Drosophila melanogaster: one gene and its partner. The protein of the gene in region 2 interacts with the protein of the main gene of each other region in a pairwise test. Each region holds a gene or a part of one and is shown on either strand. Other genes may lie near its edges.

The links.
Region 1: the proteins of Spn42Dd (region 2) and eIF2Balpha interact in a two-hybrid assay, tested with the Drosophila melanogaster proteins (one large-scale study listed by BioGRID).

Annotation. Positions count from the first base shown.
Region 1 is NT_033777.3:29,933,886-29,937,887, forward strand, and holds eIF2Balpha (eukaryotic translation initiation factor 2B subunit alpha), read right to left. Parts: upstream 2,004-4,002; 5' UTR 1,943-2,003; coding exon 1,909-1,942; intron 1,850-1,908; coding exon 1,748-1,849; intron 1,686-1,747; coding exon 1,474-1,685; intron 1,407-1,473; coding exon 1,252-1,406; intron 1,197-1,251; coding exon 926-1,196; intron 867-925; coding exon 720-866; 3' UTR 697-719; downstream 1-696. Other genes in the region: CG42557 (uncharacterized protein), read left to right, coding at 1-20; CG42558 (uncharacterized protein), read left to right, coding at 58-204, 354-575; Vps13B (vacuolar protein sorting 13B), read left to right, coding at 2,289-3,572, 3,630-4,002.
Region 2 is NT_033778.4:6,881,554-6,885,674, reverse strand, and holds Spn42Dd (serpin 42Dd), read right to left. Parts: upstream 2,396-4,121; 5' UTR 2,346-2,395; coding exon 2,333-2,345; exon of another isoform or gene 2,268-2,332; intron 2,062-2,267; coding exon 1,217-2,061; intron 1,159-1,216; coding exon 1,017-1,158; intron 947-1,016; coding exon 828-946; 3' UTR 802-827; downstream 1-801. Other genes in the region: Spn42Dc (serpin 42Dc), read right to left, coding at 2,562-2,755, 2,825-2,966, 3,037-3,912.

The DNA of each region.
Region 1 (4,002 bases), on a different chromosome or scaffold from region 2:
AAGCTCAGGAGGAGGAGTAGGAGGATAAGCCCTCGGTTGAGCATTAACAAAATCACAATGGAATCCACGTTCGGTAAAGTCTTCATGTTTCTCACGGACCTCGCTTGGAAAAGTCGTCTCACCATCCCTGTCATAGTCACAACTGCATTTCTCGTCATGGACATCCGCCTGCAGATCGAGATCAACATTCAGTCCGGGCAATTTGTGAGTGATGCAGTTGTCTTGCAAATCTAATTCGTTGATACTCGTATTTTAAAACCTGTTTACTTGATTGTTATGTTTTTTTTACGGTTATTGTTGCTTGTTATTAAAATGCATATGTGGCATTATAAATTGGTATTTTTTTTGTTTAGAATGCCAGCGATGTGGACGACGTTCAGGATGGCCTCGACGATCAGTTTAGGATGCACGATCACTGGTCGGACGACGAAAGCGGCAGTGACATCTATACAGATGAGGAGTACACAAACGACGATGGCAACAGCGAAGCGTCCCACTACAGCGTGGACATCTACGATCCCTGGGGGTCAGAAGACGAGGTAGACGCGAGCTATTCGCGAAGGATGCGGTTCTAAGACACAATATAAATTCTACATAGGTGTAAGCGAGAGTAACTAGCTTTATAGCTTATGTACATTCAGTAATGTCGAGCCCCTATTTATTCATCTCAAACAGTCATATTAAACAAAGGTATTTAAGTGCAATATCTTTATTCGCCCTTACATGTAGAGTTTGATCAACTCGTCGCTTACGGCCGAGGGTGTTAGTCTTCCGAGGTCGGTGAAGAGCAGGGTGATGTAGACGGGTGGCGTATAGTCGACCAGCGGGTGCACTTTGCTTACATCGTTTAGGTGTTTGCGGGAGTACTATAAATAAACCCACTCTTAATCGCCGTTCCTGCTTTAATGACGCAGTAAGAACCTACCTTGTACTCGTTTGGCAGATCGCGCTGATTGAGTGGATACAGACGGCTGAACTTGAAGCTTTCGGCCAGAACGTAGAAAGGTTTCTTCATCTCACGGGCGCACAGACCCATGGTGTAGGTGCCAATGCGGTTGATAATGCCACCACTCTCCACCACGGCTTCAGCCCCCACAAGCACAAAGTCCACCGATTCCATAACATAGCCGGTGGCTGAGTCCAGAATGAGCGTGCAATCGATGCCGGCCGCATGCAGATCCTTAACCATCTCTTCGCTAAGAACGGACAATGCTTACACCTGAATTCTATCGGAAACACACCCTAGCTTACCCAGAGTTTCCCGTGCCGCCCTGCGTCACATAAACGTGGAAGGACTTTTTGTTCTGCGAGGCTGTAATCAGCGCCTTGAGGACCACCCGGGATCGGGAGTGCGTCAATATACGGCAGCCATCGGTAATGAACCTTTGGGCCTGCTGGGCAATCACCTGGATTGGGTGGTACAATGAGGGGTTAGTTCATGCGCTAGCACTAGCTTTTCGTATGAGAGCCAACCTGCCGGGAATTGAGCAACTTGGTGAGGAAGATTTTTCCGCGATTCAACATAATCTGCCGGCACTCCTCCATGTGCTTGTCGTCCAGACTGAGGGTGATGAACCTGCAAAAGAGCTCTCCGGCAGAAACAATGGCTGCTATAGACAAATCCGTATTCCGCATGGCAGCCACCGCTTCCCTCATGGTTGTGTGTAGAATATGAATGGTTCCAACTGAGGAATATGTTGTAGATGATTTAAAATGGTTCAGTAAAGAGGTTTATTAGCCCACTAACATTGTTTCTTTTCCAGGATCATTAGCAGAGTCCTGATAGCCGCAATGCCGGAGGACAGATCCTTGTCCTCGTCCAGGAGCTGCAGGAAGTATTTGACCACATCTAAGGGTGAAAGCTTGTATTATCACTTCTGCGTAACTTTAGACCCATTCTTAGCTCACCAAAATCCTGGCCATTTTCCGTAATTTGCGGCATTTTTATGAAATTGTGAAAGCCTACCGCTGCACGTTAAACGTCAACAAAATAATCAGCTGTTCGAAGGCTTATTTACACTTCGCAATTCACAGGTTAATTTATCGATTGCCAATTCGCACCTTCCGATAACGATAACGATTGGCAGATTGCCGGGGCTGAAACGTAAACAATCCAAAATTCTATGGCTATGTTTGTTTTGTTAAACATATTCGGCCCAGAATTGTAGCAAAATTCACAGCATGTAAATTCAAGTTAACCGCCGGCAACGCATTAAATGAAGAGTGTCATATAAGTGAGCAGTCAACAGCGCTGGGATCGAGGCCTGAGCCTCCGGCGTCGCCACACCATGTTCAAACTGGAGTCCTACATCACTCCGATTCTGCTGAGCTACGTGGCCAAGTACGTGAAGAACTTCCGCGACGAGGATGCCCAAGTGTCGCTGTGGGAAGGCGAGGTCACCTTCCAGAATCTGGACCTGCGCCTGGAGGTGCTCGAGGAAGAGCTGAACCTCCCAGTAGAACTAGTTTCCGGCCACATTCATGAACTCAGCATCCTGGTGCCGTGGACCAAGCTTATGTCCGAGCCCGTGAAGATCGTCATCAATACCATAGAATTCGTGGCCAAGTTGCCGGATAGTGAGAGCAAGCAGCGCAGGGCCTCCTTCCAGCGGGAGCAGCGAAGGAAATCGAAGCGGGAGTCCGTGGAGCAGCCGGATCAGACGAAGAGTCCTGGACCGGCAAGCTCTTCCAGCGTGGTCAACAAAATCATCAACAACATCAACCTGCAGTGCCACAACATCATCCTGAAGTATGTGGAGGACGACATCGTGGTCTCTATGAATGTGCAGACCCTTAACTTTAGCTCCGCCGGCGAGGACTGGAAGCCCACTATGGTGGACATACACCCGGTGTCCGTCGTCATGCGCAAGTTGCTCCAGGTCTCAGATTTGACCATCTGCTTGGACAAGCGCAACACAGCTGGTAGGATAGAGGTGTGCCAGGAGCCGGTTCTCTACCGATGTACTCTGGAGTGCCGGGTTCTCCGCAAGTACAACGCCAACACGGTGTCCACAACAAGCACAACACGCATTGGAGTTTTCACGAAGTCGCTGGATATCAACGTGTCATCTCTGCAGTTCCCCATGGTGATGAGGCTGGTCAAAATGCTGCTCGAGCTTAAGCCAGCCGAGTTTGAGGATGACCCCCAGAATCCAGAAGATCAGGAGGCGGTAGCTGAGGGCAGCGAGTCGCAACAGGGGACCGAATCCGCAGGACGAAGCGTCTTTTGGTGGGCCTGGAGCCTACTGCCCAGTTTCGATACTGAGGCGCCTTCCTCGTCCTGCGACACTCCCACTGGTCACGCCTTCGATCTGGGAGTCTACGCCGAGGAGCTGAACTTCCAGCTTAAAAACTCGGAGTACTTTACCGACCAGAGCATGGGTGGCATCAAGCGAATACGATACACCCCAATATTGCGAATTAGTTTGGGCGGACTTTATTACGAGCGGACAATTCTAAAGGAGTGCGACTGGGCCAACGTCAAGGCGGGCCTTTCTAGCATGTGCATGGAGCCATTAGGTGCTTACCGTAGCGACGATCTCGTGGATCGCAACTTGGTCAATACCCAGGAAGTGAGTTGATCCTAAGACTGTTTATTGCCTTCACTCTTTACTATTTTTTATATAAAGTTTCAGCAAGAGCGATCCTTTATTGACAAGAGTCTGTTTGACGAGAACTACATGTTCGCCGAACGGTCCTGGTGCAGCTACAACTACGCGGATTACGTGGCCAGGAACACGGATGAATACATGCTGTTTCGCAGTCCTGTTTTGGCCTTCGACGTCATCGAGCACCGGGTGCCTAAGCCCAGCAGCCATCCCGTGGCGGAGAGCCAGCTCAGAGATCTGGGAGTTCGCATCCAGTATCGTCTATTGTCCGCCGGAATCACGTTCCACTTTTCGCAGTCGTTCGTCCAGGTTAAAAAGGTAATTAGTGATTTAATTCGTCCTTACGATTACCCGGGATATCGTTCAGAATCGATGAAGGATGAGGATCGCGGTG
Region 2 (4,121 bases):
TGTATGTACAGTTACCTTAATTATCTGTAGAGGATTTGATTGTAGTTAAGTTCGTGGAGCGCTGATTTCAATGGCTACAAAAACCGTCCACGTATTAAAAGTTCTGCCTCGAACTGAAGACTGATTTTCTTTCTGGCCCTACAACGGCACACTGTGGGGAAATTAATTTCTGTTTCCCAAGAGATTTTAAGTCCATCGCTAGCATGTGAATGTCTTTTTACTTTTTTTTTACGTTAGTATCGGCTTAAAAATATCAATTTTGTTTATTAAAAACTGGAGAGACCGCCGTAGTCGAGTAGCTCGAATATCACATACATACCACTTCCAATTTGCAGGTACGCGAGGGACTCGAGAAAGGCTTTTCACTTGTTTTTTATCTGTGGTATTTAGACATAATACGTTTAGGAACCGAGAATAGTGTTTTAAATTGCCTTTTTAACGACTTTTATCGAATGCTTCTAGGTTCATTGGTGGTGGATGTTTAACTTTTTAGTGTTTTTTCTCCGCTAAACTAGTCGTTTTTTTTTAATATATAATAATAATAAAATCGCTCGGTTCACCAGGACACTTAAAATACATGGCGTATTTAAATGAGTTAAAATTAACATATTTGAAACTTTTCCGAACGAAGAATCAGAAATCATTACACTTTTTATTTTTGGCAAAATACCACTTCTACTCCCTATTACCAACCTACTGGACAACCTACCTTCGCTGCGTTACCCTTCCGTCACAACGTGGACTGCTGTCCACATTGATCCTTAACTTAAAATGTAATCACTCCGCTTGGAATTTTAATTTAAAATTTAAATATTGTTTTTATTTATTCAAGGGCTTACAACACGCCCCTGGAAATATATGGTGTTCGCATCGCGAATGACGAAGGCAAAGGGATGATCGGCCATGAGGAACGTAGAAAATCCCGCTCGATTTGTGACGGCCACAGCTGGGAATCATTGGGAACAGTGAGTATATAGGAGTCAACATTCGACGCTGATAACCAAATCGGTACTTACATGTGGCACCTGCGGCCTCCGCTCCCTCCTCGTTCACCTCCAGAAACGCCTTGTGCGAGACCTGACTGACTTTGCCGCCTGACTTATCGGCGAACAAGCCGCTTAAGTCTGACTTGTCGGTGAATAGCTCTCGGATGCCCAGCTTAAATAGAATCGAGCGTCAAAGTGGCACAACCGTGTTTTTCTTGACGGAGTCTTACCTTCTCTAAGGTCTCTTTGAGTTCATCACGAAATTCGATTTTAAACTTGGGCAGCTTAAGATAGACCTCCTTGGCAACCAGCGGCCTGGCGAAGCCAACGATCTTCTCTTCCAGGGCGCTCAAGCCCTCCACTTCTCGGGGCAGAAAGATAGTCATGGACAGGTTGGAGTTAAGGTACGGCAGCTCGATGACTTGGGCATCTAGATCGCGGAAGTAGTTAGCCCTGAATGTTCCCATTTGCGCCATCATCTGGACGGGCACACTCTTGTTCGCAGTTACTTGGAAGGTGGAGGCTCTGGTCTTAGCTGGGTCAAACTTCGACTCCCACTGGCCCTTAAAGTAGATGGCGTTCACCAGCAAGGCCTTCACGTCGGACGTCATGCTGCCGGGATCGATCATGCCCTTGATTTTACCACTGGTCTGATCCAGCACCCACTGGTTGATTCTCTCGGCCGCCACAGGGCCATTGGTCAGACTAATGGACTCCGCCTCGGACTTGAAGGGTTCCCTCACAGCGAGGTTGTAGTTCTGATTCAGGCTGTACTGGTCGTTGACGTAGATGCGATTCGCGAGCTTTAGTATGGGTCCCTCCTCCTGTCCCTGAAGATCGTTGAGGAGAGCACCGTACCTGGCTGCCACCGCCTCTTTGTCCTCCGATGGTAAACCTAAGGCGCTCTGCAGCTCCTTGGCCGTCGAGCCTTCTGCGCCCATGAAGACCATGCTAAGGATGGTCTCTATGGAGACGGGCGAGACGACGAGGTTCTGGTTTGTATGGCTCTTGGAAAGTAGTTGGTAGATCTCTTTGGAGGTCTGACATGCCACTGAAGTGACCCACAGGAAAATGCCTAGTTTGGGGATGTTAATTATCAATTCGTTTTCAGCGTTCGGAAATTCTGTTCATGCATATTAAACTTGATATTTTTTACTTTTACAGACTAAAGCAAATCGAATTCAACGAAAGCGGATAGTCTTTGTAAGTTAAAAGTTAATGCCATAGCAAACGTCTTCACCATATTGTTTTATTATTTTCTATGAATTTAATTTAAATCATAAGTTATTATAGGTAATTTATTGCTTTGTATTTTAATTCACTGGCTATAAGCGATCGCCACTTACACAAGTAATACATTTGACCGTCTACAACGAACTCTTCCCCGAGATAAGTATCTCTGTAAACTGAGCGCCGAGTGCCAAGACGAGCTCATATATGCACTGGACATATATGTACCTACTGGCGATACTTCATTACGTTACTGAGAACTGCGCACACAGCTCTCTCGGATTGAAATCCAATGACGTCTAGTGGGATTTCATAGCTGAGTTCTATTCGGTCTCACTGCTGTTCTTAGACATTGTACATGTTGGCATCGAAACCTTCCCGTGACAAGCCCTCCTCTCCTGATCCAGATCCAGACTTGGGGTTCGAGAATCGGCCGGCGAAGAAGACGGCCTGCGGGTTTCGTATGTAAAAGACGAACGGGTGATCCGCCTTGAAGAGCTTCTTGTTCATGTTGAGCATCATGGGTACTATCTTCATGACTGAGTGTGGGAATCAGAGTTGAGATTAGTACGAGCAAGTTTGAGTTGCAAGCAGCTGATTTCACTTACAACTGACTGCTGCTGCCTCCGATCCTGCCTCATTTACGTCGATGTAGCCGCGGTGCCTTGCTGCCGAGATTTTTTGGCCACTTTGCGAGGTAAAGAGCCCGTCTAGCTTGGCCTTATCGCTGAAGACTTCCGTAATACCCAGCTGAGAATAAATATCAGATATTACATTGTTATTAAAACAAAGCCACTATTATCGGTTAAATGTATCTTACCTGATTAAGTACCTGCTTGAGGTCCACGTCGTACTCTATGCACATCCTGGGCAGAAAGATCTCGACATCCTGCAAGGTCAGCGCTGCGTCAATATCGGCTAGATCCACGGTGTTGAGTTGCTGCTCTAACTCCTGCAGACCGTTTACTTCGTTGGGCAGCAGAATTAGCATGTGAATGTTTGAGTAATCATAGGGCAGTTGCACAGCTCGAGCCTTCAGCTGTGGCAGTTCTGCGAACCGGAACTTGTCCTCTTGGTACATCATATTCACCTGCACGTGAGTGTCCCGGTCCACGTGGAAATGGTCAATCGATGTGGTCTCTGGCATAAATGGTTTCTGCCACTTTCCCTTAAAGTACAAGACATTGATGAGCAGGGCGCTCGTTTCGTTGTTCACGGCATCCGATTGAAGCAGGTTGGTGATCTTATGCTCCGTCTCCTGTTCCACCCAGTCGTTGATCAGCTGCGTAGCTCCCTCCGAATCGGCGAACCTCGTCGCCTCGGCCTTCGACTGGAAGAAGTCCACGGCGATCTCGTTGAACTCGGTAAGCAGTTCCAAGGAATCGTTGACGTACAATCGGTTCACGGACTTCAACACGGGTCCCCTGTCGCCGTAGTTACAGCTCGTGCGCCAGAACTCTCCGAAGTTTAGGGCTATGTGATGGCGATCTCCTGGTCCTAGCTGAAGCCCATTCCTTAGCTCCTCTGCTGTAGATCCGGAAGCCCCCATAAATGCCAAGGTCAATGCACTTTGGACGGATGCTGGAGAGAAAACCGTATTTATGTGGGGGTCTTTGCTCTGTTGCAGGGCATCTTTGGTAATGACATCTATCAGATTTCGCGCAAACTGATTTCTGCCTTCTTGGGGTTCGCTCATCTCGATCTGGGCAAAAAAATATATGTTTTAATTTATATTTTTAAATACTTAAATGTAACATAAGTATACAAAAATAAGACATTTTCGGGCCAAATCTCATTATCTCATTTGGCATTATCGCCAGCTGTTAAGCGCCAACTTGATCAATCCAGAACAATTTCGAATTCGGATTCAATCTTTAATAAAATAAAACATTTTCAAAATTGCCT